2 linked regions of the Anolis sagrei genome follow. The protein of the gene in region 2 purifies or fractionates together with the protein of the main gene of each other region. This does not show direct contact. Links are inferred from orthologs where the notes say so. Each region holds a gene or a part of one and is shown on either strand. Other genes may lie near its edges. The genes, in order: ERLIN2 and ITPR1.

What was found.
Region 1: the proteins of ITPR1 (region 2) and ERLIN2 purify together in Homo sapiens (affinity purification with western blotting, with the first as the bait; 4 studies listed by BioGRID). This does not show direct contact. The link is inferred for Anolis sagrei from reciprocal best matches to the Homo sapiens genes ITPR1 and ERLIN2.

The regions. Positions count from the first base shown.
Region 1 is NC_090027.1:11,306,660-11,319,190, forward strand, and holds the start of ERLIN2 (erlin-2), read right to left. Parts: upstream 4,908-12,531; 5' UTR 4,808-4,907; intron 838-4,807; 5' UTR 823-837; coding exon 716-822; intron 1-715. UniProt on the Homo sapiens protein: Component of the ERLIN1/ERLIN2 complex which mediates the endoplasmic reticulum-associated degradation (ERAD) of inositol 1,4,5-trisphosphate receptors (IP3Rs) such as ITPR1.
Region 2 is NC_090022.1:45,929,969-45,942,307, forward strand, and holds the start of ITPR1 (inositol 1,4,5-trisphosphate-gated calcium channel ITPR1), read left to right. Parts: upstream 1-6,605; 5' UTR 6,606-6,980; intron 6,981-12,339. UniProt on the Homo sapiens protein: Inositol 1,4,5-trisphosphate-gated calcium channel that, upon inositol 1,4,5-trisphosphate binding, mediates calcium release from the endoplasmic reticulum (ER).

The sequences.
Region 1 (12,531 bases), on a different chromosome or scaffold from region 2:
TGAGTTCGAAGCCAGCCCGGGTCAGAGTGAGCTCCTGACCAATATTGTGTAGCTTGTTGTCGACCTTTGCAGCCCAAAAGACAGTTGCATCTGTCAAGTAGGAAATTTAGGTACCGCTTATGCGGGGAGGCTAATTTATGATACCATAAAACTCTCCAGCAGCATGCAAAAAGAATGAGGAAGTACTCCATCAGTGTCACAAACGGACAGTGAAGCGACAGCTCCCCTGGTGGCCAGAAGCTGGAATGTTAAATAGCCTCTGAGTGTCTGTCTATATACGTTGTGTGTCTATGGCACTGAATATTTGCCATGTATATGTACATTGTAATCCGCCCTGAGTCCCCTGAGGGGTGACAAGGGCGGAATACAAACACGGTAAAATAAATAAATAAATAAATAGTTCAAAAGCAGAATAAATGAAACTGAAATTCATAGCAATTATAATTTAAAATGCATGGTCTTAAATTAAAGTCTAACAGTTCGGATTACACAATTTATTCAAAAGACCTGGATGGACTAAAAAGGTCCCAAGGATGGCACCAGACTAAACTTCCCAAGGAAGGCTGTTCTAAAAGAAGAGTTTTGTTACAAAAAGACCCCATGCTGTCTAGTTGAAGTCACAGAACAACGTGTCCTCGAATCTGATTTGGAAGACTGCTGGGACCAAACAACAGACAGCTAGATTCTGCAACTCACCCCAAAGACAAGCACGCACCTGTAATAAACACCAATATGCCCTTCTTCAATTTTGTGTATTGCAGAAAAAAGAGCAGCTGCCACCAGGCTGGCAGCTAGAGCTGCTATGGCACCCAACTGAGTCATCCCTGAGAGTGTAACCTGGGAGAGAGTAAGAAGAAAGGAAATCAGAGAGAGGCACAAAAGCAATAAAAGAACAATTCATCCCAGTGTATTATGAAACTCTGTATGATACCACAGTGTGTTCTGATTCATGATACACACAGAGAATCAATAAGTAAATTTCCTTGCTATCAGATGAATTCTGTCTTACCCAGCATTCTATCGACAAACAAGTGAGGTATTCTTTATAAGTTGGTAAACAGAGCACAAAAGATTGACCTAACCCATCATAAAACCCTGGCACCACCTGATGGGATATCATAACTAGAAAGTGGATAAACAGGAATTCCAAAGGCCAACAAACAGTGTTTGAGTAGCTCCCCCTGCTACATCACCCCAAGATCTCCAGATATATTTGATCTTCAACATCACCACTTTGTAGAGATTCTTAGACTTGTGGCCCAATAGTGTACATGTACAGGACATCCGATTTAGGAAGCTTTCTTGAAAATACTACCCTTTAACCTCCTTGAATGCCTTGGACCACAAGAAGATCAAATCAGTCCATACTCCAGGAAATAAAGCCTGACTGCTCACTGGAAGGAAGGATATTAGAGGCAAAGATGAAATACTTTGGCCACATAATGAGAAGACAGGAAAACCTGGAGAAGACAATGATGCTGGGGAAAATGGAAGAAAAAAGGAAGATGGGCAGACTAAGGGCAAGATGGATGGATAGTATCTTTGAAGTGACTGGCTTGCCCTTGAAGGAGCTGGGGGTGGCCACAGCCGACAGGGAGCTCTTTTCAGCCATATTGCTCTTACGCTGTGTATAATTGTGTTGCATTGTTTTTATCTGATGTTTTTAATTGGTGTTTTATTTGTGTGTTTTAATTGTTTTTTGGGCTTGCCCTTGTAAGCTGCACTGAGTCTCCTAGAGGAGATGGTAATAATAATAATAATAATAATAATAATAATAATAATAATAATAATACTGCAAATCTCAGAATTCTGCAGGAGGCAGAAACCGGATTTAAAGTGGATCCAAGCTCTAGTGCCTCCGCGGCCAAAGGGTTCTGGTGCCTCACCAAACTTCAACTCCCAGGATCCCATAGCACTGAGTCACCTCAACCAAGATATACTGCCTGAATATCAAACAAAAAGTGGGCACTAGAAACAATATCATACAAAAGCTGACTGGCACAGCCTGGGGATCAAACCCCAGGTTTGATATCACAAAGCAGCCCTTGCAATATGCTACTTTGCTTCTGAGTATGCATGCCCAGTGTGGAACACATTTCAACACACTAAAACAGTGGATGTGGCTCTTAATGAGACATGCCACATTATCACGGGGTGTCTGCACCCTACACCACTGGAGAAATTACACTGTTTAGCAGGTATTGCACCACCTGACATCCACTGGGGAGCAGCAGCCAAGAGTGAAAGGAGCAAGGCATTGACATCTCCAGCTCATCCCCTGTTTGGGTATCACCCAGCACGTCAACATCTTAAATCAAGAAATAGTTTTCTAAGATCTACAGACACTCGCTGGAACACCCCAGCAAGCGAGAGTCCAAAAGTGGCAGGCTCAAACCCAGAACCTCAATCAATGGCTCATACCAAATGAGAGACTCCCCCCTGGGCACACAGAAGACTGGGCGACTTGGAAGGCGCTGAACAGACTGTGCTCTGGCACCATGAGATGTAGAGCCAACCTTAAGAAATGGGGCCACAAAATGGAATCTACGACATGCGAGTGCTGAGAAGAGTAAACCACTGACCAACTGCTGCAATGCAACCTGAGCCCTGCCACATGCACAATAGAGGACCTCCTTGCGGCAACACCAGAGGCACTCCAAGTGGCCAGGACATTTAATAGAACATCAAGTTTGCAAACTTTGTTTTTTGGTTGTTTGTTTGTTTTTAATGCAATGCAACAGTTTTGGTTCGCTCCTGACACGATAAATAAATAAATACAATAGTGCTACAGAATCCTGGGAATTGTAGTTTTACAAGGGACATCATCACACTAGAGCATGGATCCACTTTAAATCCAGTTTATGCCTCCTGTAGGACTCTGGGGTTTGTTGTTTAGGGAGGGGGGCTGTAGTTTAGGGAGAGGGTTTGTAGTTTAGGGAAGGGGGTTGTAGTTTAGGGAGAGGTTTTGTAGTTTAGGGAGGGGGTTATAGTTTAGGGAGAGGGTTTGTAGTTTAGGGAGAGGGTTTGTAGTTTAGGGAGGGGGCTGTAGTTTAGGGAGAGGGTTTGTAGTTTGGGGAGGGGGGTTGTAGTTTGGGAGAGGCTTTGTTGTTTAGGGAGGGGGGTTGTAGTTCAAGGAGAGGCTTTGTAGTTTAGGGAGGGAGGCTGTAGCTTAGGGAGAGGCTTTGTTGTTTAGGGAGGGGAGCTGTAGTTTAGGGAGCGGGTTTGTTGTTTAGGGAGGGGGGCTGTAGTTTAGGGAGAGTTTTTTAGTTTAGGAAGGGGGCTGTAGTTTAGGGAGGGGCTGTAGTTTAGGGAGAGGGTTTGTTGTTTAGGGAGGGGGGTTGTAGTTTAGGGAGGGGAGCTGTAGTTTAGGGAGAGGCTTTGTAGTTTAGGGAGGGGGCTGTAATTTAGGGAGGGGGGCTGTAGTTTAGGGAGAGGGTTTGTAGTTTAGGGAGGGGGGTTGTAATTTAGGGAGAGGGTTTGTAGTTTAAGGAGAGGGTCTGTAGTTTAGGGAGGGTGTTTGTAGTTTAGGGAGGGGGGTTTTAGTTTAGGGAGAGGGTCTGTAGTTTAGGGAGAGGTTTTGTACTTTAGGGGTGGGGGTTGTAGTTTAGGGTGAGGGTTTGTTGTTTAGGGAGAGGGTTTGTTGTTTAGGGAGGGGGGCTGAAGTTTAGGGAGGGGGCTGTAGTTTTTGAGAGGTTTTGTAGTTTAGGGAGGGGGCTGTAGTTTAGGGAGAGGCTTTGTAGTTTAGGGAGAGGGGCTGTAGTTTAGGGAGTGGAGCTGTAGTTTAGGGAGGGGGGGCTGTAGTTTATGGAGGGGGTTGTAGTTTAGGGAGAGGGTTTGTTGTTTAGGGAGGGGAGCTGTAGTTTAGGGGGAGGCTTTGTAGTTTGGGGAGGGGGCTGTAGTTTAGGGGCGGTTGCAGTTTAGGGAGAGGGTTTGTTTAGGGAGGGGGGCTGTAGTTTAGGGAGAGGGGCTGTAGTTTAGGGAGGGGGCTGTAGTTTAGGGAGAGGGTTTGTTTGGGGAGGGGAGCTGTAGTTTAGGGAGAGGCTTTGTAGTTTAGGGAGGGGGCTGTAGTTTAGGGGCGGTTGCAGTTTAGGGAGAGGGTTTGTTTAGGGAGGGGGGCTGTAGTTTAGGGAGGGGGGCTGTAGTTTAGGGAGAGGGGCTGTAGTTTAGGGAGAGGCTTTGTAGTTTAGGGAGGGGGCTGTAGTTTAGGGAGAGGGTTTGTGGTTTAGGGAGGGGGTTGCAGTTTATAGAGAGGGTTTGTTTAGGGAGGGGGTTGTAGTTTAGGGAGAGGCTTTGTAGTTTAGGGAGGGGGTGTAGTTTAGGGGCAGTTGCAGTTTAGGGAGAGGGTTTGTTTAGGGAGAGGCTTTGTAGTTTAGGGAGAGGCTTTGTTGTTTAGGGAGAAGTTTTGTAGTTTAGGGAGGGGGTTGTTGTTTAGGGAGAGGCTTTTAAACTGCTCAACCAGACAGACTCTGGACCTCACCAAACTGCAACTCCCAGGATCCCTTAACCCTGAGTCACTTCAACCATTGCGCCCCAATGCTATGGAGTCTTGGGAGTTGTAGTTTTGCAAGGACCACGGCCTGCTGAGTCCTCGCCAAACTACAGTTCCTGGGGATCCATTCCATTGAGCCCATGGCGGTTTCAAGAGGCGTCGAGTTGCATTCCTTTGCGAGAACTCTGAACCCAAAGGAAAGCGGGAGAGGAAAGAAAGGGAAATGCAAAGAAGAGCCCTTTCCTCGGGAGAGAGGAGGGCAACGAGGGAGGAAGAGGAAGGGAAAGAGCAGCCGCCTCCACTCACTCACTCACTCACCACCTGCTCCGCCTGCAGCTCCTGCTCGCCCTGTGGCCGCCACTTCCGGGTTGTCGCCTTTGTGACGGCATCAGCCTTCGCCGCCGCGGCTTAGAACGTTCTGACGTTTAAGCCCCGCCCCTTTCCTCCCTTCCTCTCCCCTTAGGTCTCCAGGCCAGGCTTTCCCTTCTTCTCCTTCTGGCCTGAAAGCTAGAGCTGCAGAGGTTCCCTTAGTCTTCGAGTTGGGAGGGACTTCCAAAGGCCATCCAATCCAACCCCTTTCTGTCACAATTAAAGCCCTCCTGACTGATGGCCAGCATCCAGTCTTTGCTAAGCCCCCAGGGAAGGAAAAGAGTTCAGGATCCCTTAGCTTTCGAGTTGGGAGGGACTTCTAAAGGCCATCCAGTCCAACCCCTTTCCGTCACAACTAAAGCCCTCCCGACAGATGGCCAGCATCCAGTCTTTGCTCAAAAGCCCCCAGGGAAGGAAAAGAGTTCAGGATCCCTTAGCCGTCGAGTTGGGAGGGACTTCTAAAGGCCATCCAGCCCAACCCGTTTCTGACACAACTAAAGCCCTCCTGACAGATGGCCAGCGTCCAGCCTTTGCTCAAAAGCCCCCAGGGAAGGAAAAGAGTTAAAGATCCCTTAGCCTTTGAGTTGGGAGCGACTTCTACAGGCCATCCAGTCCAACCCCTTTCTGACACAACTAAAGCCCTCCCGACAGATGACCGGTGTCCAGCCTTTGCTCAAAAGCCCCCAGGAAAGGAAAAGCATTCAAGATTCCTTAGCCTTCGAGTTGGAAGGGACTTCTACAGGCCATCCAGCCCAGCCCCTTTCTGACACAACTAAAGCCCTCCCAACAGATGGCCGGCATCCAGCTTTTCCTCAAAAGCCCTCCCGACAGATGGCCGGCGTCCAGCTTTTCCTCAAAAGTTCCCCAGGGAAGGAAAAGAGTTCAGGATCCCTTAGCCTTCGAGTTGGGAGGGACTTCTAAAGGCCATCCAGTCCAACCCCTTTGTGACACAACTAAAGCCCTCCCGACAGATGGCCAGCGTCCAGTTTTGCTCAAAAGCCCCCCAAGGAAGGAAAAGAGTTCACGATCCCACCTCTTCCTCTCTCCAATTAGGAGCAAGCTGCTTTTTACATTCAAAGCAGGCTGGATTTATATTCAACTGCTATATATCACCCAGTTTCTGAATCCAGGTGATCTGCTTTGAACTGGATTATTAGTCCTTACTTAGGCGATCCTTCGTAGTCCGAGGATGATGGTCCTCCAAGTTCGGTATCCTGGGGGTGGGTTTGTAGGTGGCTGTGGAACCCTATTCTTGACCTGCATCTTCTCCCACAGTGAGGGCATTGGTTTCCAGGTGAGAGGCGATCCCGATCGAAGTTGGCTCGACGCACCTTCCTCTTGGCACATTTCTCCCTTTCGCCCTCCATTCGTGCCTCTTCAAATTCTGCAGCACTGCTGGTCACAGCTGACCTCCAACTGGAGCACTCAAGGACCAGGCTTCCCAGTTCTCAGTGTCTATGCCAGAGTTTTTAAGGTTGGCTTTGAGCCCATCTTTTAATCTCTTTTCTTGCCCACCAACATTGTGTTTTCCGTTCTTGAGTTCGGAGTAGAGCAGCTGCTTTGGGAGATGGTGCTCGGGCATTCGGACTGTAGGGGCAACGAAACCAAAATATTTCCCAAAAGGCAGAAGCCCCCTTTCCAATAGGGAGGGCAAGGATGGACACCACGAAAGTTGAATCCTTTAAACTGCAAAAAACTATTTATTATTGCGTGGCCATAGCAATAACGACAAACAAGCATACAGGGATGCAATCAAAGGGTTTGTCGCAACCCCCAATGGGACTGCAGAGCATTTATAGTAAATGGAATATACATTTTCATTGGTTTCCAAAGACAAATCATTTCATTGGTCTAAGTTAATTATGCAGTTGTTCATCAGTTGTTTATGATTTTGATTGACATTATAGCACACGTGGGATCCTAACAATGGCACAACTATAACATAACTATGGTTCATTGTTCTCTGACCATGACTGTATCTTATCTGTTAGTGTGTTGCAAACATGGCTTCAGAGCGACTGGGAAACTTGGGGGTTCTAACTAGCCAACAGCTAGCTGGTTTTGTCCGGATATGCTGTTATCCTTGAATAGTAACTTCTTTGGAGCACTGATTTCTCAAACAATCAGCATTTTCTGTGAACATAGGCCTACTGCAGAAATAGGCCAATATGGCAGTAAATCATGACATATGGGCATTGGGGAAATATCTGAAAATTCCCTTTTTAAAACCACGTCTCCTCCAGGACAACTTGGCCGGTCAAGCAGAGTTGATGGCGGAGGACCATCGCTTCAATGCTGGTGGTCTTTGCTTCTTCCAGCACGCTGACGTTTGTCCGCTTGTCTTCCCAAGAGATTTGCAGGATTTTCCGGAGGCAGCGCTGATGGAATCGTTCCAGGAGTTGCATGTGATGCCTTTAGACAGTCCATGTTTTGCAGGCATATAGCAGTGTTGGGAGGACAATGGCTTTATAGACAAGCACCTTGGTATCCCTATGGATGTCCTGGTCCTCAAACACTCTCTGCTTCATTCAGGAAAATGCTGCACTTGCAGAGCTCAGGCGGTGTTGTAATTATATTATATTAGTCCACACTGCCATAACATGAAGCCCGGCTGCTCATTGGAGGGAAGGATATTAGAGGCCAAGATTAAGTACTTTGGCCACATCATGAGAAGAAAGGAAAGTTTAGAGAAGACAATGGTGCTGGGGAAAATGGAAGGAAAAAGGAAGAGGGGCCAACCAAGGGCAAGATGGATGGATGGCATCCTTGAAGGGCCTGGCTTGACCTTGAAGGAGCTGGGGGTGGCCACAGCTGACAGGGAGCTCTGGCCTGGGCTGGTCTAGGAAGTCACGAAGAGTCGGAAGCAACTGAATGAATAAACAACAACAAAACTTTTTCACAGGCATATATTTATTGTATCTGTTTTTTACGTTTTGGCATTGACTTGCTACTAGTGTAAGCCGCTCTGAGTCCCCCTTCGAGGGTTGAGAAGGGCAGGGTAGAAGTGTTAGAAATAATAATAATAATAGTTGTTGTAGGGTTTTTTTGGGCTATATGGCCATGTTCTAGAGGTATTCTCTCCTGACGTTTCGCCTGCATCTATGGCAAGCATCCTCAGAGGTAGTGAGGGCTGTTGGAACTAGGAAAATGGGTTTATATATCTGTGGAATAACCAGGGTGGGACAAAGAACTCTTGTCGCGGTGGAGCTGCCCTCCACCCCGTCCTCATCACTCTCTGCTGGTTTAGCTTCCACAGCTGAGTGCCAACGCCCATCCCTCCAACTCTTCCACCTCTTGTCAAGACTTAGGTCTCCCCAGGATCCCACAGTATCACCCGATTGCCAATCCCCACCACCAGAAAACCCCGCAAATGTGTCACTGGACGTTGGTTGAGTACACACATTCTGAACCTTTTGTACCTTGGTCCAATCTAGTGCTTCCTCCTCATCCCCATCACTCCCAGACCCATCATTCCCAGAAAAACCCATGAAATCCTCTTCTTCCGTGGGAGCAGTAAGTATGTCCCCGATTTTCTTTCTCCGACGCTCTTCGTCTGACTCTTGCTCTCGAGTAATCCTCTTAGTTCCCCGATTCACATCTACTGAATCTCCTTCCTCCTCCCCACTCATTTCACTTTCGGAAAACCCCTCGAAGGATTCTTCATCAGTGGGTAATGTAAGCATCTCCCGGATCCTCTTCCTCTGTTGTTCCTCATCTAGTTCCTGAATTCCTCTTTTCCCTCCTCTGACACTCCTACTACCAGGGGCGGCTCAACCCATTACACAAAGTAAGTATTTGCAGTATAGTTGATTTTGCCCTGGGGCGCTCTTGAGGTGCTCTTGGAGGAAAATAGACCTTGACATATGCGAGTTGTAGTTACTGGGATGTATAGTTCACCTAAAATCAAAGAGCATTCTGAACTCCACCAATGATGGAATTGAACCAAATATGGCACACAGAACTCCCATGATGAATAGAAAATATATATCAATGATTGGTTGGGGGGGGGGGGGGGGGCGCCAAAATACTGTTTGCTTACCGTTGAAAATTACTTAGGGCCGCCTCTGCCTACTACCAGTTGCAGAGTTGCCAACAGACTCTACTACAACATGGACAGTCTTACCTTAAATTACAGTTTTATGTAAATACTAGCTGTCCCCTGCCACACATTGTTGTGGTCCACATGAGGGTTCTGTGCGGGAGGTTTGGCCCAATTCTATCGTTGGTGGGGTTCAGAATGCACTGTGATTGTAGGTGAACTATAAATCCCAGCAACTACAACTCCCAAATGTCAGGATTCTATTTTCCCCAAAGTCCACCAGTGTTCAGATTTGGGCATATTGAGTATTTGTGTAGAGTTTGGTCCAGATCCATCATTGTTTGAGCCCACAGTGATCTCTGGATGTAGGTGAGCTACAACTCCAAAACCAAAGGACACTGCCCACCAAACCCTTCCAGTATTTTCTGTTGGTCATGGGAGAACTGTGTGCCAAGTTTGGTTCAATTCTATCATTGGTGGGGTTCAGAATGCTCTTTGATTGTAGGTGAACAATCAATCCCAGCAACTACAACTCCCAAATGACAAAAGCAATTTTTTTGAGCAAAGGACATACATTGGGTTGTTAGGTGTCTTGTGTCCAAATTTGGTGTCAATTTGTCCAGTGGTTTTTGAGTTCTGTTTATCCCACAAACCAACATTACATTTTTATTTATATCGATTCAAAATCATTTAACCTACCGATGCCTCAATTAACGTAATTTTATTGGTATCTATTTTTATTTTGAAATCTACGAGTAGCTGCTGCATTTCCAATCCTCGGCTTATACTTGAGTCAATATGTGCTGTCGCACGCTGGGCCTGTGCATAAGACTGTAGACAGGACACAAATTCTGTGTGCTCAATGGGACGCCGAGGCTGCCTCAGATTAAAGGCCTTTGGATTTCCTTACAACAGAGTCTTTAGATTGCTTAAAGGTTCAACAATGTTCTTTATTGCTGAAAACAAACAGGTACTTTAAAGCTTTCTTAACAGTCTATTGGCTGTCTCAATCTTGTTCACTGGGAACAGGCACTATCTTCATAACTGTATACTAACTAATGGGGAAATCCTTAACTTCTAATCTGGGCAGTCTGTCTTTGCCTCTGTTGGCGTGGAGCCCCTGCACCCGGTACCAACTGCTTCTGGCTTCCGCAAGTGACCCTTACCAAGCAGAACTTTGTAGACTTCCAAGGTAAAAGGAGTTCAGGTTTCCGTGATGGCTGACTGAAGTCCCTCAGCAAAGGAGCTGTAAGGCTGTATGATCCTCGGCCAAGCTGTGGGCTGTATATCTCCCTGGCCAAGCCGTAGAAGACAAAGCTTTCTACAGGAGCATGGAAAGCTTCTCTGTGTGGACTGACCCAAAAATGGCTCCTATTCCCTCCAAAAACCCAAAAAGGCGGCGGGACCAGGGAACCTAACTATAATTGACAGGTGGCTTGCCCTATGATTGCAGCCAAAAGAAGCCACCTGTTCTGGAACAGCTGTTCCAGGAGCTCCAATTTTATTTATTTGAATTAAATGTTGGTTTGCAACATTTTTTGCAGCAGGGTAGCTTCCTGTTATAATTTGCATTCATAGGACAAGCCAGTCGTCAATAACAGTTAGGTTCCCTGGTCCCGCCCCTCTCTGGGTTTTTTTGGAGGGAAGGGGCCATTTTTCAATCAGTCTCAAAAAAGAAGTCAATGCAGAGGATGTACACAAACATCCTCCTGTGCAAAGGCTTCATCTCTTAAGACTTCCCGGGGGAGAACAGTTTTAAGAGCCTCTACAGATTCCCAAAAGGTTCCAGGGAAACAGCTTTACAGCCCTGAGGACTTCCAGATGGAATAACAGCTCTGCTCATCTCCAGCTAAGTGACTACAGGCCTGTTGGTATGTCTGCTAGGTTCTGAGATGCAGTTCAGCCGGTAGTGGACTCAAGTCAGTCAGGTTTAGGTTCACAGTAGCCTGGGAGGAGCTAAAAAGGGGAATTTTCCTTTGAGCAAAGTTTTTGAAGATAGTGCCTGTTTCCTGTAAACAAGATTGCAAGAGCTAATAGACTGACAAGAAAGTTTACAATTCCTGTTTGTTCATTAATAAAGAACTGTTATATTTAAGCTCAAGCCTCATAAAGACTGCTTAATAAGGGGAATTTTCCTAAAGGCTTCTTTTCGGGGCCCTTGGCTTCCCGCTGGATGCAAGCCTTACATCCTCTCTTAAAAGCACCTCATTTCGGCTCCAGCGGCAACAGAACACCACCTATCTGCAGAGTCCCTGAAACTTAGGACTACAACAAACATTCAATGCAAAGCAAACAAATTTGGAGCTCCTGGTACAGCTGTTCCAGAACACAATACGTTTTCCCAGTTTTTTGTGGTAAAATTTAGGCCTGGGTAACAACGCAAAAATTTGTTTCTAAAATCGATTTGTAATTGGGGTTTTTTTTTTGTTTCGATATTTAAAATAATTACAAAACTTTCCCAAAAAAAAGTTTTGGTATTTACGAAATTTCGTAAATATTTACAAAACATTTTGTAAAGATGGCGCCCTTTTTTTTCCAATATTTTTTCAATATTTTTTAAATTTAATTATTAATTTAGTAGAATAGGGATTAATTATTATTAATTATTATTAAGGAGGGAAGGCAGGCACTCACTCTGGCGGGCCCTCTCGCTCGCCGCTCGCTCGCCCCTCTCGCTCCAGCAGACAAGAGTTCTTCCTCCCACCCTGAACATTATTCCACAGATATATCAACCCCACTTGCCTAGTTTCCAACAGACCTCACAACCTCTGAGGATGCCTGCCATAGATGTGGGTGAAATGTCAGGAGAGAGTGCTTCCGCCCCTCTCGCTCGCCCCTCTCGCTCGCCGCTCGCTCGCCCCTCTCGCTCGCCGCTCGCTATTATTATTAATAGGCAATGCTAAGCAAGCTGGCCAATTGCAACATTCAGGCAGGAAGCAGCCAGACCATGAAGCTGCAAGGCCATTCGATGCTCATCAAGCTGGCCAGCTGCAACATTCACGCTTGCCTCCAGCAGACAAGAGTTCTTCCTCCCACCCTGAACATTATTCCACAGATATATCAACCCCACTTGCCTAGTTTCCAACAGACCTCACAACCACTGAGGATGCCTGCCATAGATGTGGGTGAAATGTCAGGAGAGAGTGCTTCCGCCCCTCTCGCTCGCCGCTCGCTCGCCCCTCTCAGCAAGCATCGGCAGGCGGCCATCTTACGTATTTCCGAAATGGACGGAAATACAAAATTTTTTGGCGCCTGCCGTTTCGATATTTAAAAACACTTCCAGGTTAAAAAAAATGTTTTGTAATCGTTTCGTAATTCAAAAATTAACGAATTTTTTAACGAATTACGAATTAACGAAACGAATTGACCAGCCCTAGTAAAATTAGGTGCCTCCGGTTATATTCGGGTCGGCTTATACTCGAGTATATATGGTAACTTCATTTTTATTCTCATAGGTCACAATGCTATAGCATCAAGTAGAAAATCTAATGCTTATACCCAACCTTTCCCCGCTCTATTTAAAAAAAAGTCTGTTGGCAATTAAAAAGAAAAATCTGTTTTCTGTTAAGATGTATGTTTTGCCAAATGGAAAAAAAAACAATAATAGGAAGACTGACAGATCACACAGAAATAT
Region 2 (12,339 bases):
CCATAGCAACCAGTGCTTGGGAAAGTTATATTTTTTAGACTACAGTTGGCAAGACAGTCCAGGAATTCAGGAAGATATAAAATTTAAAACGTAAGGTTTCCAAGATCTGCAATCAGGTTTTTCAAGGCCACTTGGTACTTCAGAGCAAGACCTCTTAAACTTTTCCACTTGTGACCCCATTCAGTCCAAGACATTTTTCCGTGATCCTGAAATATATATATATATATATATATATATATATATATATATATATATAGTGTCAGTATTTGCAAGGCTTTCTAAACACACTGATTTTCTTTTTTGTGAAATACAGCTGAAGCATCTTCTGCAGAGTCTACTTGAAACACTCCACAACAGAAATGTGTAAATGTCTGAAATAGCCATTAGGTGGAGTTCAGAAAATGTTTACTCTTGACAATTTTTTTAGGACCTCAACATAGGGCCCATTTGGGGTCAGGACCTACTGTTTAAGAAGCAGTGCTTTAGAGGAGCTAATGGGAATATGGAATTAAATCTTGAGTCCATGTGCACTGAGTACATAAGCTAGTGGATTACTCGCTGTCTTCTTCTTCATCATCATCATTACCATCATCATTTGGTGTTGCTTTAGAAATAACTTTCACAGTAGTGGTTCATACTGTACAAAACGACTTTCAAAAGCTAGGCAAGGCAGTGTACAATCCAAGTGACAAACCACTTAAACAAGCAAGCTTACATTTAGATAAGATTACTGCTCTTGATTCAACAAGCACTGGATTAAATGAAGTGCTGTGTATTGTTAGCAAAGGTAGTTGCTGAGCTATAGCTGTGAATGCTTTGCTGGAAATTAAGGTAATCAAACATAGCCTGCTATTCCAAATACAGACCCTGCACATCTTAATCCACACATTTGATTCTCTTCGTCTGTGGGGGCCCTTTCACACAATGCAATCATAGTACTATGGTTCACTTTAACTGCAATGGGTCTATCCTATGGAATCCCAACATTTAATTTTGAGAAGGGGAATTTACACTTCTCAGGCAGGGAGACCCACTGTCTTATGAAACCACAAATTCATGTATTCCATAGGATGTAGTTATGCAGTTTGTGGAACCATAGTGCAATCACTGTGTAGTGTGAAAGGGTACCAAGTGAACTGACAAACTGACTAGTCTGCTTGTGACAAACCAGCATATCACATCCTAAGCAGAGAGCAGGGTAAGGTATTTTGACAAGGGAAATTTTGACAGGGGAGATATTTTGACAGGGGAAATAGGGCAAGAGAATTCAAATGGCCATATGCTGGTGAACATCTGTCTGTCAATGAATTAAAGTAATCATCTGGGTCTGCTTTCCTGTCCACTGTGATTATGCTGCACTGTGAAAGTTTTCTAGTGAAAGGCTCAAAAACAGATCTGCTATCCCCTTTTTGTGACTCTTCTTCAATGGAGATCCCTTCTACACTGTCCTATATTCCAGGATCTTATCCCAGATTATCTGTTTTGAACTGGATGATATGAGTCTACGCTGCCACATAATCTGGGATAAGAAGATAATAAGAAGATCGTGGGCTATAGAGCTATGTAGAAGGGACCATAGTTGGTGTGGAAGAGTGAGCTATTTTTCAAAGAAGTTGTCATAATAGGATCGTCTACAGTTTTGAATTAATGCAGTTTGACACCACCTTAATTTTTATGACTCAGTGCTATTCAATCATGGGAGTTGTAGTTTTATCAAGCTATCAGCTCTCTCTGCTGAAGAGTTTTGGTGGGTCACCTAACTACAATTCCTAGGATCCCACAGCATTAAGTCACAGCAGTTAAAAGTGTTGTCAAACTGGTGCTTATTCTATATTGTGGAAAACCTTTAGCTGCTGATTTCCTCAGACCAAGCTTCTATTAAAAGCACAAGCAGCAAAGTGCGCGCATGTGTGGGAAGAGAGCAGTCTGGTCTTTAGAAAGGATTTGGACAAATCCACAGAAGAAGGAGTTCATCAAAAGATATTGGCTGCAATAAAGACATTGAATGTTTGATGACAGGCAAAAATGCCAATACAACTTGGGAAAAGAGGTGTAAGTTTCTAAATAGTGGAAAATTTAGAGCAGATACAGACTGAGCCTCCCTTATATGGAAATCTGAAATACTCTAAAATTTGAAATTATTCACATTAGGTGGCTGAGACAGTGATACCTTGCTTTCTGGTGGTTCAATATACACCAACCTTATTTCAGGGACAGTGATCAAATGTTGCATAAAATTACCTTCCTAATACCTAAAAGATGTATGTTGTTGTTTATTTGTTCAGTCGCCTCCCTTCAACTACACCCAAGAGTATTGAAGGAACTAGCGAAAGTCATTTCAGAACCATTGGCAACCATCTTTGAGAGTTCTTGGAGAACGGGAGAAGTCCCAGCAGATTGGAGGAGGGAAAGGTGGTCCCAATCTTCAAGAAGGGAAAAAAGGACGACCCAAACAATGACCGTCCGGTCAGCCTCACATCAATATCAGGTGAGATTATGGAAAAGATTGTTAAGGAAGTGGTCTGCAAACACTTAGAAACAAATGCGGTTGTCACTAATAGTCAACACGGATTTATCAAAAACAAGTCATGGCAGACTAATCTGATCTCCTTTTTCGATAGAGTTACAAGCTGAGTATATGCAAGATACTCCACTTGGGCAGAAGAAATGAAATGCAAAGATAAAGAATGGGGGACAATGCCTGGCTCGAGAGCAGTATGTGTGAAAAAGATCTTGGAGTCCTCGTGGACAACAAGTTAAACATGAGCCAACAATGTCATGTGGCGGCAAAAAAAGCCAATGGGATTTTGGCCTGCATCAATAGGAGCATAGTGTCTAGATCTAGGGAAGCCATGCTACCCCTCTATTCTGCCTTGGTTAGACCACACCTGGAATACTGTGTCTAATTCTGGGCACCACAATTGAAAAGAGATATTGACAAGCTGGAATGTGTCCAGAGGAGGGTGACTCAAATGATCAAGGGTCTGGAGAACAAGCCCTGTGAGGAGCGGCTTAAGGAGCTGGGCATGTTTAGCCTGAAGAAGAGAAGGCTGAGAGGAGACATGATAGCCATGTATAAATATGTGAGGGGAAGTCACAGGGAGGAGGGAGCAAGTTTTCTGCTGCCCTGGAGACTAAGATGCGGAGCAATGGCTTCACACTACAAGAAAGGAGATTCCACCTGAACTTTCTGACTGTGAGAGCTGTTCAGCAGTGGAACTCTCTACCCCGAATTGTGGTGGAGGCTCCTTCTATGGAGACTTTTAAACAGAGGCTATATGGCCATCTGTTGGGGGTGCTTTGAACACAATTTTCCTGCTTCTTGGCAGGGATTGGACTGGATGGCCCATGAGGTCTCTTCCAACTCTATGATTCTGTAATTCATGACCTCATAGACCAGCCCACGCCAGAGCTCCCTGTTGACCGTCGCCACCCCCAGCTTCAAGGACATGCCAGTCACTGCAAGGATACCATCCATCCATCTTGCTCTTGGTCGGCCTCTCTTTCCTTCCATTTTCCCCAGCATCATTATCTTCTCCAAGTTTTCCTGTATTATCAATATGTGGCCAATAATATCAATATGTGGCCAAAAATAAATATGTAGTTTATTTTTGCCTCTATTATCCTTCCCTCCAATGAGTAGTCGGGCTTTATTTCCTGATGTATGGACTGGTTGGATCTTCTTGCGGTCCGAGGCACTCTCAGAACTTTCCTCCAGCACCACAGTTCAAAAGCGTCTATCTTCCTTCACTTAGCCTTCCTTATGCTCCAGCTCTTGCATCCATAAGTTACCACAGGTAATACTATTGCTTTAACTATGTGGATCTTTGTTGCCAGTCTGATGTCTCTATTCTTAACTATTTTATAGAGATTGGTCATTGCTCTCCTCCCAAGAAGTAAGTGTCTTCTGATTTCCTGGATGAAGTCTGTGTCTGCAATAATCTTTGTGTCTAGAAATACCAAGTCTGCCACTGCCTCCTTGTTTTCTCCCTCTATTTGCCAGTTACCAATCAGTCTGGTTGTCATAATCTCAGTTTTTTTTAATGTTTAACTGCAACCCAGCTTTTGCACTTTCTTCTTTCACCTTGATTAGAAGGCTCCTCAACTCCTCCTCGCTTTCAGACATCAAAGTGGTATCATTTGCATATCTGAGGTTGTTAATGTTTCTTCCAGCAATTTTAACTCCAGCCTTGGATTCATCAAGCCCTGCACATTGCATGATGTGGGTGAGAGTATACAACCTTGCCGTACTCCTTTCCCAATCTTGAACCAGTCTGTTGTTTCGTGGTCTGTTCTTAGTGTTGCTACTTAGTTATTATACATATGCATATGAAACACAAACAAATTTCATGTTTAAACATGAGTCCTCATCTCCAAGACATCTCCCAATAAGCATATATGCCAATACAGATATCTGGGAAAAAAAAGTCCCATATCCAAAGCATTTCTGGTCCCAAGCATTTCAGATGAGGGATATTCAACCTGTATATTTTAAAAAGCATTTGTTATAGATAGCCACTGCCAGAGAGAGTTTAAAAAGTGACAGATTCTTGGAAGATCAGATGAGAAATCCACCAGTGGTTCCAGTATTGAAAGCATTAGGTATTTGCACATCAATTGCTGGCAAGCATAAGATAGAGAGGCCGCAGAATTGTTCCCATGCCTTTCTGGCAGGATGGGAGTGTTTATTCCAATACCTCATAAGAAGAGCTAAGCTAGATCAAACCAAAGAGTGATCTAATCCATCATATTTAATACTTTTATCTACACCGTAGAATGAATTGAGTTTGACACCACTTTATCTGCCCAATGCTATGGAATCAACGGGAGTGGTAGTTTTACAAAATGTTAGTCTTCTTTGTCATAGTGCTTGTGACTTACCATACTACAAATCCCAAGATACTATAGCATTGATTCATGGTGGTTAAGTGCTGTTAAACTGCACTAATTCTACAATGTAGATGAACCCTTGGTTGAGACCCAAAGTGGTTTGCAACATTAAAAACAATGCAATGTGTTGTCGAAGGCTTTCATGGCCAGAATCACTATTGCTGTCAGTTTTGCGGGGTATATGGCCATGTTCTAGAAGCATTCTCTATTGATGTTTCACCCACATCTATAGCAGCAGGCATCCTCAGAGGTTGTGAGGTTTTTTGGAAACTAGGCAAGTGGAATGTCCAGGGTGGGAGAAATAACTCCATAGATATATAAACCCCACTTGCCTAATTTCCAGCAGACTTCACAACCTCGGAGGATGCCTGCCATCAGGGCCGTAGCCAGAAAAAAAATTTCGGGGAGGGTTGAAATTTCAGGGAGGGTTTTTGAAAATTTGGGGGGGGGGGGGTTGAAACCTGCCTCCAACTCATGCTGAAGCCAAGAGCACAGCGGGGGGCAGAACAGCCTTCAATAGCCTGCAGCTCCGCCCCTGTCAACCACCTCCACCAAGTCTGGCCTCCTTGATGAGAGCTTTCATCACCCCCCCCCAACTTGGTTGCTTCACTACATGGGCTATTGCTGCAAGTAATGACAGTGTGAATAAATTGTCGATATTTGCTTGAGAGAGTGCTTGCAGTTCTGGAGGGACTCTTAATTTTTTGCATCTCATAGACTTAGCATGGGGATTTGGTTAACCAGTTAAAATTCATGAGCAAACCAGGTTTTTTTTAAACCTGAAAATTTTCGGGGGGGGGGGGGGTTTGAACCCCTACCCCCCCCCCCCCCGGCTACAGGCTTGCCTGCCATAGATGTAGGCAAAACATTAGGAGAGAATGCTTCTGGAACGTGGCCATACACCTCAGAAAACTCACAGCAACCCAATGCAATTGTAGACTCATAGAATCATAGAATTGGAAGAGGCCATCCAGTCCAACCTCCTGCCAAGAAAGAGGAAAATTGCATTCAAAGCACCCCCGACAGATGACCATCCAGCAATTTAAGAGCTACAATATATACATACTTTATATATCTTTAATTCAATCACTTAAAGCAAGCAAAACAATTAAAATAATGAAAACCCTATAGAGCAACCAAGAATAAAATCCCAAACACTTCTGGTCCCCAAAGTTTCAGATGAGGGATCCTCAAGCTGTATCTGTATCTAACTTCCTACACAATTCTCTCACTTTTTTTCTCTCTGGTCGACCCTGAGGTCAACGATTTGGCTTTCTGTTGTCATTCCTTTTTAAAAATACACACACAGATACACAATCACAACGGGGTTTCGATGCATATTACTCATGTGTGCTGCCTCGTACTGCAAACACTCACAGATGGTTGAAATTCTTGGCTTGTGCAAGGAAGCGGGGGAGGGATGAGGAGTTGTCAGTCTATATATAAAAAAAGTCTTGAGAGAAAGCTCCCAAATAAATGTCTCTTTGAATGAATATAAAACAAAAGGTGGGGGGGGGGGCGCAAGGGAGGATCTTCTCCACTCCTTTTATTTATTTATTTATGTTAATATTGGAATGTAGAAGGGGGGAGCCTTTGCCCGCCGGGGATTGGTTGACGGCAGGGAGAAAAGGCTCCTCTCGGCCAATCAGCGCCCCAGAAAGAACTTCGGCGTTCGAGAGACAACATTCCTTTTGATCTGATACACACTCACGCAGAAGAAGAAGAAGAAGAGACGCTGCTGCCCCGCTCGCCGAGACTCTGAAGCAGCCCACCCTGAGAGCCCGGTGCATGCTGGGAGCTGTAGTCCCCCCGCGGCGTTCCATCCGCGAGAGCGGGCGGGGGAGCGGGCCGGCCCGGACTACATTGCCCAGGGAGCCTGTCGGGAGTATATAATCAGCTGCAGGGAGCTGGCGAAGTGCAGTAACCATGTGGATGTTGAGCTAGCAGGGTGTTTGGCAGAGGCAAAGGGAGGCTGGCTGAGCAACCTCCATCCCTGGCGGAACCGGGCAGGGGCCGAAAAGGGGAATATGGGATTACCAAGAGGCTGATCAGTCACCCCAGGATTTAAGAGGAGTCCCTTATGCAACCAGGTAAAGCAATAGGGTGGGAGAGGAAATGAGGATGGGGTGTTTTCTCTCCTCACAGAGGATGTAGCTCTGGCTTATGGTGCATCTACACTGTGGAGTTAGCGCAGATTGATACCGCTTTAACTGTCATGGCTCAATGCTATAGGATCCTGAGGTTTGTGGTGCATCTACACTGTGGGAAAATGCAGTTTGATACCGCTTTAACTTATATGGTTCAACACTACGGAATCCTGGGGTTTGTGGAGCATCTACACTGGAATTATTGCAGTCTTATGCCGCTTTTACTTCTATGGTTCAATACTATGGGATCTTTGGGTTTGTGGAGCATCTGTGGGATTAGTGCAGTTTGATACCACTTTAACTTCTATGGTTCAACACTACGGAATCCTGGTGTTTGTGGAGCATCTACACTGTGGGATTAGTGCACTTTGATATCACTTTAACTTCTATGGTTCAACACTATGGGATCCTGGGTTTGTGGGGCATTTACACTGAGGAATTAGTGCACTTTGATACCAATTTAATTTCTGTGGTTCAACTGGGGTTTGTGGGACATCTACACTGTGGATTAGAGCAGTTTGACACCAGTTGGAACTGTCATGGCTCAATGCTGTGAAATCCTGGGATTTGTAATTTTGCATCTGTATTGTAGGATGAATACAGTTAAGTAAATACTACTTTAGGTGCCATGGCTGTATCTATACTATGGGATCCTGGGATGTATAGTGTTATAAGGGGTGCATCTACACCAGGCATGGGCCAACTTGGATCCTCCAGGTGTTTTGGACTTCAACTCCCACAATTCCTAACAGCCTATGGCTGTTAGGAATTGTGGGAGTTGAAGTCTAAAACACCTGGAGGGCCCAAGTTGGCCCATGCCTGATGTACACAGCGTAGAATTAATTTGTGGTCGCTTTAACTTCAATGGCCCGGTAGTATTATCGGATCCTGAGTGGTGGTAGTGCATCTACACTGTTGAATTAATGCAGTTCTGCACCACTTCATACTGCCGTGGGAGTTGTAGTTTTACTTTCTCCCCCTTTGCCAAAGATTCTTGTTGCCCCTCCAAACTATAACTCCCAGGATCCCATAGCAATGAGCCATGGCAGTTGAATTGGAGTCAAACTGCATCGATCCTACAGTGTAGATGCACTAGCTGTGTCCATTAAAAACCCATATTGGTTTGTGTGCCTTCCCTTTCTTACCAGATCACCCAGATGCCTGTTTCTGCAGCAAGGATTTGTAGGGTGTTTATTTATTATTATTTTGGAAGTAAAGAAAAGAAAGCAGCAACAGATTTTTCTTTATTTTTCTGTCTCTGTTCAATCCCCGCCCTAAGTTTGCAACAGTTTGTTTGCTGTTACTGTTTTATGTTACTGTTTCTGCATCTTTTTTTGTATTTTATGTGTTGCACCTTTGAGTGCTTTGTAAGCTGTCCCAGGTCCTTCTGGGGTATAAATAAATAAAGTTTAAATCTATTATTATTATTATTATTATTATTAACAAGAAAGCATTTGTAGCTGCAGGGAGACTTGAAAGGCGATCTTGGATTGTTATTGTTCATTATTTTTGGAAGGGAAAGATGTCCTTAACTGGCTCAAAAAAACAACAACTTCATGGCTTTGATGCAGCAAACTATAAAAAGCCATTTAAGGAGGATGTGAGTTGGGGTTTTTTTTCTGGGGAAAGAGGGAAAGTCAAAAAAGGGATTAAGCCACAGATGGTTCTGCCCAACAGGTAGGTCTGAATAGTCTGGTTACAGAGACATCCCCTCTTCCCTTGGGTTTCCCTTGACATCTTAAGCAGGAGCAACAGCGCCAGGGTTTGCTTTCTTGCCAGGTTGCGTTCCTTGGCAGCAAACTTTTGACATCTGGGGCCGCGACAGGCATTTCAAAGTTATTAACTCAATTGCTTTTGTTTCAAATGGAGCCGGAGAAAGCAGACAGCCCCTTGGCTCCGGCCAGTGTGGAAAAAGGATGCCTGTGGAAGGGTGGCTCAGGGTGCATCTACACCAGGCATGGGTTAACTTGGGCCCTCCAGGTGTTTTGGACTTCAGCTTCCACAATTCCCAAGTTGGCCCATGCATGTGCTATTTTGACATACTCATTTGCATATGCTTTCTGACTGGCCAGCCTCAACATTCTAGCATACTTAAGTGGCTGAGGGGGGAAAGGAAGGGGCCTGAGGCTGTGAGGAATGGGGGGAGTTGGAGTCCAAAACACCTGGAAGGCCCAAGTTGGCCCATGCATGAGCTATCTCGACCTACTCATTTGCATATGGTTTCTGATTAGCCAGTTTCAACATTCTAACAGGCTTAAGTGGCTGAGCAGCAAAAGGAAGGGGCCTGAGGCTGTTAGGAATGGTGGGAGTTGGAGTCCAAAACACCTGGAGGGCCCAAGTTGGCCCATTCATGAGCTATCTCAATCTACTAATTTGCATATGGTTTCTGATTGGCGATCCTCAACATTCTAACTTTCTTAAGTGGCTGAGCAGGAAAAGGAAGGGGCCTGAGGCTGTTAGGAATGGTGGGAGTTGAAGTCCAAAACACCAGGAGGGCCCAAGTTGGCCCATGCATGAGCTATCTCGACCTACTCATTTGCATATGGTTTTTTATTGGCCAGCCTCAACATTCTAGCATACTTAAGTGGCTGAGAGGGAAAAGCAAAGGGACTGAGGCTGTTAGGAATGGTGGGAGTTGAAGTCCAAAACACCTGGAGGGCCCAAGTTGGCCCATGCCTTATCTACATTGGAGAATTAATGCATTTCTGCTCCACTTGAACTGCTAAGGATCAATGCTATGGAGTCCTGGGAATTTGAGTTTGATGAGACACCAAACTAAACCATTTGTGAAAAATACAAGTCCCAGGATTCTGTGGTATTGAGCCACCACAGTTAAAAGAGGTGCCAAACTGCATTGGTTCTACAGTGTTGATGCAAGCGAAAAGTAGTTACCAGAAAATGAATTACATATTTTTAAAACTCCCTTTGAAATTGAGTTGATGGATTGAGTTGAGGGATTTAGGAGATCAGAGTTAATATGATGAAAGGGGTGACATTTTTTTTTAATCTGCCAGAGTAATGATTCTCAAGCTCTGGTCCTCTAAAGAATATGGGAAGTGGAAGGGTGCATCTCTACACTGTAGAAATAATACAGTTTGACACCATTTTAACTGCTATGGCTCAAATGTTATGGAATCATGGGAGTTTTAATAGCAGGCACTTTTTGGCAGAGAAGGCTAAAGGGGCTTCTAAGACCACAATTCCAACAATTCATAGAATCATAGAGTTGGAAGAGACCTCATGGGCCATTCAGTCCAACCCCCCTGCCAAGAAGCAGGAAAATAGCATTTGAAGCATCCCTGACAGATGACCATCCAGCCTCTTTAAAAACCTCTAAAGAAGGAGCCTTCAACACAGTCCAGGGCAGAGAGTTCCACTGCTGAACACCTCTCACAGTTAGGAAGTTCTAATGTTCAGGTGGAATCTCCTTTCCTGTAGTTTGAAGCCATTGTATCACCTCCTAGGATTCCATAGTATTGAGCCATGGAAGACAAAGTGGTGTCAAACTGCGTTATATTTACAGCATAGATGCAGCCAAAGCACCTGGAAGATCAACATGTGGGAAACACTGTTCCAAAACTTCCTTATGAAGGACAAAATAAAGGGTGTCTATAGTGCTTTCGCAAAAGCAAACTATGTACATGAATATCTTGTGGAGGTTATAGAGATGACTCTTGGAAGGGTCCGAAGGAGAGGTACACCATTATATAAGAGAGAAAAGAGAGCTCTTTGTTTTCTCTCCCTTTGCATGTTAACCATGTGAACAAAGGAAGAGGTGAAGTAAGAAGTGTTTTTTCATGCAACAGGACAAGGAATTTGTGTTATTATAGCTTTACTTTCCCTCTGTGTGAGGGGATGAGATTAAGTCTTGTTTCTGTAGAGTTTAATGTGCATTAAAGGTTTTATAATTTCTCTACGAGGAAATGGTGTGGCCTGGAGAATATATATGTGTGTGTGTGTGTCTATGTATATGTGTATGTGTGTGTGTGTGTGTGTGTGTGTGTGTATATATATATATATGTGAGAGAGTAAGAGAGAGAGAGAGAGATTATTTTTATGTGTAGGCAGCATAGTACTGACAGTTTTATTTTTAGTCATCTTCTTAATAAACCATAGCATGGGATTAGCCAATTTTTATTGCAATGGCACACCAAGATGACGTTTCTTTTTTCATTAAGTTTTTCCACCTTGATTCCCAAATTCTTTTTCTGAGGAACTTGCAAATGGTTCAGATTTCACCTCCCTCTCTCTCTCTCTCTCTCTGCTTAAGCCTGTATCTATATATCTATATATATCTGAGACTGCTTTACTCCATGTGCAGTTATAGTGCACCTGTTTAAAGAGAATCTCATTTGCAGTTTTATAGCCTCTTGATTCATAAAGATCCTTTTGGAACCTTTTCCAATTGCTTTTGATTTTCAGCAATAATTGGATGTTAGCTGCAGGTTTGTCTCCACTCTGAACTGCTTACCTCAGTCAAAAACAAATTAAATAACATTGCTCCCAACAGAAATATTTGCAGTTCTCTCCAGTGCGAAAAAGGTCTGTTTGCTCCTATTGCCTGCTACTTATTTGCCTGTTGATTAGTTTCTCATTCATAAAATAGATGTTGTCTCATACTACGCCTTTGTTTACAGTTATGAGCTTTAGTGATGGACCTTGTCCATCATCCATCCAGTCCATCAAAGACCACCCAATTCACCTATTGAGCTGCAGGGAGAGGCTGGTAATAAAGTCGTCATCATCATTAAATATCATTCTGCTTCCCCTTTTTCAAGTTTAATGGTTCTAATTTTGATAAAGTTTTCCATCATTTTTCATGGGATCTATGTTAGGCTAATGGCCCTGTAGTTTTTCTTTGAGATCCAGTATGGTATAGGGGTGTCAATGTGATCTTATGTCTCTGGAGAACAAGGTTTAAATTCCTCATCAGCCTTGGAAACCCACTGAGTGGCCCTGGGCAGGTCACACTTTCTCAACCTCAAAAGAAGGCTGAATAAGTTTTGCCAAAAAAAAAAAAAAACCTGCATAAAGGGGTCTTCTCAGAGTCGTTGGAAATAGGAAACATCTGCAAGTCAGATAACAAAACCCATTTCCTTGCTCCATTCTGAATCCCAATTGACTCTGTTAGTGTTATGGTGGTTGCCTCTCTGTGAACATGAAGGGAGGATGTTAATTTTATGTTTCTGTTGCACCATACAAGGGGATTATGGTAAGCAATCCTTCACAGTTGAACCAAATAACTGGGATTTCTATCACCTCCCCTGTTTTTTAGTTTGTCTCAAATGCATCCGTAGCCTTT